Linked DNA regions of Xenopus tropicalis. The protein of the gene in region 2 interacts with the protein of the main gene of each other region in a pairwise test. Links are inferred from orthologs where the notes say so. Each region holds a gene or a part of one and is shown on either strand. Other genes may lie near its edges. The genes, in order: mycbp and mycbpap.

Region 1 (4,316 bases), on a different chromosome or scaffold from region 2:
AAAGCAATCAAATTTGTCTGACATGACATATGCTTCATAAAGGCATCCATGCCGACTACTGCTCATAATGCCATTCTCCAGAGCATACTTTAGAATGTGATCCCTTAACAAGCCTTTAAATAACTTGTTCCCCATGGATAATTGCCATCAGCTTTCCTCCGGGTAGGTACCATATCAGATGAAAGTGAGTCTGAGAAAACAGAAATAGAGGCCTAGCCAAAACTGAACTAACATCTTTAAGTACCAAATGGTGTATTCCATCTGGTCCTGGTGCATTGTTCAAATTAATTTTGAGTAATCCTTTATGCACCATATCCTCTTGTAAACCATTAACTACATTGAGCTGGGCTATCTGTGTCCCTATTGGGTGGATATTGAAACTTCTCAATTGTCGACAAAAAAGGAAAGAACTGAACAAGCACATTTTCCTTTTCAGTATCCATTATAACCGCATTATTTATCATTATGTAATGGAGCCACACCCTCAATCTGCATTTTTTTTTTTTTTTACTAATAGTATACTTTTTAGGGTTAGTGTTAGACTCTGCCACAATGTGCTCCTCGTTTTATATCTTTGCTTTCCTGATTTTTACAACTTTTTTTTATGTTGATTACAATTATATTGTACTATTATATATGTGTTTCAATGAGGATATCTGTCTGCTTGGATTTGAACAAAAGCCCCACAGAAGTTGCTCTGCTGACACAGGGTACACATTCACTAAAGTCTCACCCAAAAAAACTACAATAAAATTTTGCTTTAAATTAGTAGTTTATTTAGAACTGTGAGAACATAGAAAATAATTTTAGAAATATGACACTAAATGTGCCTTTTCCTGTGCTCAAAATATAACAAAATTCAAGCTTATATATTTGGATTTCCAGTGCAGTATTGATGTAGGTAGAATGTAAAATATCTATGTCTCGGAACGTTTTTCATCTAGATGTTGTGCTGGATCATGTTGTGCAAGCTGCAAGAGCAAAAGGAATAAAATTAGCTTAAAATGAGGGCACACACCAGAATAAGATTTAAATATTTCCAAAAGTATATACTGTACATAAGAATCAGTGTGCCATAATTAACACTAACAAAAAGTCAGGTACACATGGACCATCTACAAGTTAAACTTCAGGGCTGACAAATGTATACATATAAAAAACTATTAATACATAACCAGTACAAGACAAACAGGTAATGCAGACTATGTACTGAAATATATAGATTGTTATTATATATTGTATATTAAAACTCTATAACAGTACAGTCCTGTATGACACACCCCCTTACAACTGTGTATATTTTGTGGCACTACTGATAAAGTTCCATCACCTGAAAAAGCAAGGATTTGTATTTAAAAATGTGTTTACACCATCACATGAGGTTATTCCATGGCCATCCATGGTTAAGTGGTACACAATTTTATTACCTTTTTCAGATCACATGCCTTGCTTCATGCATAACTTTTTGATGTTATTATAATGTTGTGTAAATATGTAAACAACCAGGGAACAGCAGGGATAGCTAAAGGGTCTTACATTCCATAAGAGAAGGAACTGAGTAATAATAATGCTTTCACCTGGCCTATAGACAAGCAATAGATTTTGATGTGGGCCAATAACAGAACACCTGAGGAAAGAGCATGGTGGCACACTTGTTCATAAGTTAAAAAATATTTAAATATCTATCTTATAGGCCAATGCAAACTTGCAAGGCTGTTCCAAATTAGTCATCCAATTTGTCAAACTTTAGGAAATATTATAACTATGTAAGTCTATGGCATATTCACATAACTGAAAATTTTTTTTCACAACATTACTGCTGGAAAAGAAAGGTTAACAAGAGAGAATCTATTTTTTTTTTCACTGACAGCCAAATTTTGTTCACTAGTAATTAAAAAAAGTAAAAAGAAATTTTCAAGTTTTCCCATCCTTTAAAAAAGCTGCCGCCCAGTCCTAGCTTGGAGAATATTATAAATCTCCAACAATAGCATTAATCTTCAGTGGCTCTCAACCTTCCTAATGCCGCAAACCTTTAATACAGTTCTTCATGTTTTGGTGACCCCCAACCATAAAATTATTCTTAAAACCATCTGAAATATGTGTTTTCCGATGGTCTTAGGGCTCTGGTACACGGGGAGATTAGTCGCCCACGGCAAAACTCCCTGTTCGCGGGCGACTAATCTCCCCGTGTACCAGAGCCCTTAGGCGACCCCTGTGAAAGGGTTGTTCGACCCCCAACGGGGTCCCAAACCACAGGTTGAAAACGGCTGTGTTAGCTAGTTAAGATACTTTTAAATTTAATGAAAGGAGCACTCAAACATTCATGGAAATGTAGATAAAAATGCCAGGATTATTTGTAGCCTCCCTCTCCCCAAAACATACAATGTAGAGCCTTTATCAAGGGCATATTGGGTTTTTTTTGCCAAACTGCTGTGGTAATTCTCCTATACTGGGTTGTGTTTATTGGATTGCAAACTTTGTTCACATTGAGTGATGCTGACATTTACTTTGCCATGTTTAAGCAAAATACATTAAACAAAAGTTATATAAACCTGCATCACCTTTTTTGTGATATACGTGCAGCCTTATCTGCTTTATAAGAACATATGTGTAGATTTAAATAAAGAAGGGCGCTTCTCTATTATAAAAAGAAACAAACACAACATACCTTTGCTTTCAGTTCTTTGTTTTCTTCTAGTACTGCCTCATATTTCTGTTTCAGTTCTGCTACCTCTAAGCGAAGAGCTTCCACATCTGCTGTTTCAGGTCCTGCAGCACCCATGTGTTGTTTTAAGAAGCTGCATAATAGGTTAAGGACTTCCAAAATACACTGGCAAACATATTCTCTACTATGCAAGTTTATAGAACTCCAATTGCTAGTATGAGCAGTTTGGGTTTTTGGGGGGTTTTTTGTTTTGTTTTTTTTTTTTTTTACAAGATCCCTATGAATAATTTAAAAATTTACAAGGGATTTGCAATGTAGCACATAGCAATGCAAAAGTTACTGATCTCATGTTTCCAAATGGGCATGTACCAAGAAGAACAGAGATCAATGGTTAAAAATCTGTCTTGCTCAATATTTATTGCATTAAGCATTGGCCTTTATACCTTTGGACACAAACACATTCGGAAATATTAGATAAGAAAATACACGTGTTGCCTTGCAATGCACCACAATGTATGGTAAGAGCAGTAAAAACAAACTGATGTATATACAGAACCTTAGCTGGTAGTATTGTAGCAGCTTATGCAGTACTGAAATAACTAAAGTTTCAGGCCTTAGTGGCAGGCAGGGGAAAGTTGCCTATTTACTAACAAAGTGGGAAACAAGTCACTGTGTTGAATGCTTAGAAATGTCGTAACACAGGTTCACAAATAAACCATCAATCTATGCTTAAAAAAAACCACTACCCATTATTAGACTAAATCTAATGGCACATGTTGCATTTCCTTCTGCTCTATTGGGCAGCAAGGGATTCTTCAAGAAACCTTATAACTAAAGGGGCCTTTCGCCCTCAACCACACTCCCTGGGTTTATGGTGAGAAGAAATACCGTTGGGCTTATAAAATATAATTTTTCATACACAATATGTGCCTACTAACAACACACAATCTTTTGATCACTCAAAGAAAATGTCCTTAAAGGACAAGGAAAGGCAAAGTCACTTGGGGGTGCCAAAATGTTAGGCACCCCCAAGTGACTTTAATCGCTTACCTCGTACTCCGGGCTGGTGCCCCTTTACGGAGAGAACAGCACCAGCCCGGGGTAGCCAACTTTTCTGTTAAAGTTCGGCTTTTCACTCTATTGTGTATGCACGCGCTGCTACCCCGGGCTGGTGCGGTTTTCTCCGTACAGGGGCACCAGCCCAGGGTACGGGGTAAGCAATTAAAGTCACTTGGGGTGCCTAACATTTTGGCACCCCCAAGTGACTTTGCCTTTGTTTCTCCTTTAAAGGAGAAAGAAAGGTAAAAACTAAGTAAGCTTTATCAGAAAGTTCCAAGTAAATACAGCCATAAGCACTCAGAGTTCTCAAAAGATTTGTTGTGTCTGTTTTCCTCTGCCAGATACACACAGCTCTCTCCTCTCTCCCCTCTCCTGCTCCCCCCTCCCTCAAGAATGCTAAGAACTCAGTTCCTCCCCCCTTAGGAATGTGGATCTTAGACGATGAGGAAGCTTTCTGCTGATTGGCTAACTGAGCATGTACACTGGTCTGGGTCTCAGTGCAGTAGTGAGGCATTATGGGAACTTTCTTTACACGGCTCAGCGTTTTTTCTTCCTGTTTGGCTTCTGATCATCTGAACAGGAGAAATATGGG
Region 2 (3,824 bases):
TTTCAGGGGGTCCCTAAAAAAAATAGCAAACTCAGCAAAACATCCATCTGATTATCAGACACGTCAACTATAAGGAACAGCACTGGAGCACCCACATGTTCTCTTTCTCTTCTGAGACAGCTTCCTCTGGTTCTTCACTCAAAGGGAACTGTTCTGCAGATACTGAGGTGAAGGGATGCCCATGTCCAATCACTTCCAATCCATCGATGTCCTACAAAAGCAAGCGAAGTATGTCTGACTAACAGTTATTACTGGCAGTATGTTAGAGGAGAAAAGTAATTCATGATGTTGGTGGGAAGTGCCAGGGGTACCTTACAAGGTGGGCTAATAGTCACTGTGTGAATGTGTTGGGGTGAGGTTAATCAGTGGCAATGTGTAAGTGAAGCTTTACTAGGGTAACACTTTCATTGCGCTGGGGGTGGAGGGAATTGTATTCCTAGTGACGTCAGAGGTATCACGATAGCTGTTGTGCTGTTTTTCCTTTTGTGTAGGGATAGGAAACAGATGTCTAGGGTGAACTATATCTTTGTTACTCAGTAAGAGCATTTGAGCATAGCTAGCTTTGTACCAAGTGAATTACAGAATGTCTCTCACTGGCTTGGGAAAGTTCAGCTCCTCCATGACAGCTCTCAACTCGTGTCGCCGCTGCTCAAGGTAAAGACTCTTATCCCAACTGCGGTCATATGCTGAGCGAAGTGTAGCACCTGGAAACCATCCCAGAATAAGGTTAAGAACTCCTCTGATACTCATGTTGTTTCTCACTGAGCACCATTGCTATGTGAGGGAAAGTGTTTACAGATGTGACATACCTGTTTCTTCCTTGACGTTATGCGGTTTGCCAATACGAGTGATTGGTACTGGGTAACCACGATCACTTCTGGGAAGGGTCAATGTTAAGCCACTAAGCTCATCCCCAATGCGCTGAGGCAACTTCCAGAACTCGCTCCCAAGCTGCCGGCCCTATTAGGGTTGGAGAAATTGATATTGATAAAAGCACCTTATTATTACTACTTTTCCCCATACCAGCCTCGAGATTCCCTGCAGTCTTACCTTTCCATGCTCCGCTGCTGAGATGCTGAGGTCAATCAGTTGTTTCTCCTCTTGCACACTTCGGAAACCCTCCCCAAGGTTCATAACAAGGCTATCAGCAGGCTTACCCAGCCGACCTGAGTTACACAAAGAAATGGGATCTGAGAGCTGCAAAGGACCAGGAAACTATGGACAAAAGAACTTCAAAAAAGGTGAATGTGGAAATAACAGAGGTGCTGAAAGATGGTAGAAGAAAAGACTGTTGATTATATATTCTGCGTTACTTGTCAGCAGTGCCTTGGCCTATATAAATCAACTTGTACATAGCAAATATGTAACTGCAGGGCTTACACGAGGGCAGTCATTGATTAGGAAAAGGAAACATACAGCATCACTCACACATCCAACTCACGGGACAGTGTCTCCACCTGCTGCTTTCTCAGGCTCATGTGATGTTGCCAGTTGATCAGAGAGCTGTCTTGTTTTATAGGGAGCACTGAATCATCTTTGTTCTGTTGAAGCCCCATTTTTTCATATTTTCTGAAACCCATTTGGATAGGCTCAGGAATAAGTTCGGCTACCTGGGTAAAGGCCAAACTCTGCATTAACTTCCAGACACTAGAACCACATAAAATATGTGGCTAAATACTGACTGTGTTCATGTATTACTAGCACCGAATCCAACTTATATCTGCAAAAATATGCCTATTTGCCTCTCAGTTTCCTCTCAAGGTAACCTTGACGACATCAGCAAATCGCGGCGCTGCATATGCCATCCCACCAGCGATTTACATTCTAGCCGGTGGGATGGCATTGCAGGGAGATTAGTCGCACGCGGCAAAGGAGATTTATCGCGGCATGACTAATCTCCTCGTGTACCCCTGCTCTTAAAAATGTACCACCCCTTTGGTGTCTCAAAGTGGCCATAAATGGTAAGATTCCGTTGGTGGCGAGGTAGCCAAACAAGCAAATCTTTACCAATATGCCCACCATGCGTGGCCGATATCGTGCTTATGTAATTGCATTGCAATGAAAGGGATATGAGCAGGGCCGGATTTCCAAATTAGCTGCCCCGAGGCCGCCCCCGGTCGCACACCCCCCTCCCCAGAGTGCGCATGTGTGCGCGATACAGGGGAGAGGGGTTTCCGTGCGCATGTGCGAACAGCGGGGGGGGGGGGGTTGTGCGCGCGCATGCGCAGTGGGCCAAACTTGCATACGGAGCAGTGGGGAGAAGTCCCCCCATTGCTCCGTATGGGTACAAAACTTTTTAGACCTTTTAGACCTTTTTAGGTTTCTGTCGCCCTAGGCCCGGGCCTTTGTGGCCTCTCCACAAATCCGGGCCTGGATATGAGTAATCGGTGCAAGAACTGCATCAATTAGATGATGTGGGCCTTGATCCGACAGAAATATCAAGCCTGCCGTAATGACAACTGGCTGATTTTTGGGCAGATATCGGTCGGGAAGGTCTGTCAGTATGGCCTCCCTGTATTTACGGATTTTATGATGTTAATGAATATGTGGTCATGTACAAAAGTATAAATCTGTTGTACCACAGCATCACTATTACAAGTAGGCGGTATTACCTCCACCTGAACAAGCATTAGGAATTAACAGTCAGTCAGACACAGGAAGGCCTTTGTGGCTTGAGGGATACCTGCATATTTCCCCGTGCTGAAGCAACTCTTTTCAAGTCTTGCAGAGTTCCCAGGATGCTGTGTGGTTGAATTTGGTTCTGTGATCCAGACAGACTGAATTCATTCCCTGTAACAAGATAAAAAAAATACTGTTCATTGCAGAGTGAGGCTGCGGTGTTGTAGCCAAGTACAGCGACCCAAATAAAGAGCACCCCCAGTTCTCAGTAGATGAGAGGAATAGATAGAGGGGAACTTACAAGAGATAAATCAGTGCTGGGAAATCATTATAGTACTAACTGAATTTAAGAAGGGGTTTTTCTGCAATAGTATTAGGTTAGCCATTTCTAGCTACTACTGGGATACAAGTTAGTAGTGTATTAAAGGGGGTTGTTCACCTTTGAGTTTACTTTTAGTATGATGTAGATAGAGAGTAATATTCTGAGACAATTTACAGTTGGTCTTCTTTTTTTATTAATTATAGTTTTTTTAGTTATTTAACTGTAGCTCTCCAGTTTGGAGTTTCAGCAGATGTTTAGTTGCTGGGGTCCAAGTTACCTTAGCAACCAGGGAGTGGATTGGAAGAGAGACAATAACAATAATAAAACTGTGGTCTCACAGAGCAATAGTTTTTATGCACCGGGGTCAATATCCCCCATTTAAAATCTGCAAAGAGTTGGAAGAACAAGGCAAATAATTCAAAAACTATAACACATAAATAATGAAGACCAGTCGAAAAGTTGCTTAGAATTTGCCATTCTATAATATATTTAAGGGTGAGCCACCCCTTTAATTACAACACAATGTCTGTTTTCCCATGCCAGTTTGCTTACTGTCCTGTAATGCATCCAAAATCGCAATCTCTGCACCTGTTTCCAATAATAAAAGACTACACATTTATGGATTTGAGTTGCTGTGCAATTTGCTGGCATCGACAGAGCAGAGACAAGCTGCCATACCTAAATATACCAGATCTCTAGTCTCCAACTCAGGAGGCGCAGGGCGGGCCACAAGTAGACGTCTCTTCCTTCCCTCTGCGTTATGCTTCCGAACCAAAACATGGTTAGTTCCAGCAATATTTTGCTCTTCTTTAGAAACACGAGGTGGGTGAATCTACAAAACAGGAGAGAAAATATACTTGTTTTAGAAATATACTTCTGAAAA

The links.
Region 1: the proteins of mycbpap (region 2) and mycbp interact in binary tests that used the Homo sapiens proteins (3 or more experiments, as listed by UniProt). The link is inferred for Xenopus tropicalis from reciprocal best matches to the Homo sapiens genes MYCBPAP and MYCBP.

What each region holds. Positions count from the first base shown.
Region 1 is NC_030678.2:80,435,060-80,439,375, forward strand, and holds the end of mycbp (C-Myc-binding protein), read right to left. Parts: intron 2,799-4,316; coding exon 2,669-2,798; intron 972-2,668; coding exon 918-971; 3' UTR 754-917; downstream 1-753. UniProt on the Homo sapiens protein: May control the transcriptional activity of MYC. Stimulates the activation of E box-dependent transcription by MYC.
Region 2 is NC_030686.2:43,588,959-43,592,782, reverse strand, and holds part of mycbpap (MYCBP-associated protein), read right to left. Parts: intron 3,774-3,824; coding exon 3,620-3,773; intron 2,791-3,619; coding exon 2,684-2,790; intron 1,611-2,683; coding exon 1,442-1,610; intron 1,167-1,441; coding exon 1,051-1,166; intron 961-1,050; coding exon 810-960; intron 705-809; coding exon 595-704; intron 212-594; coding exon 96-211; intron 14-95; coding exon 1-13. UniProt on the Homo sapiens protein: May play a role in spermatogenesis. May be involved in synaptic processes.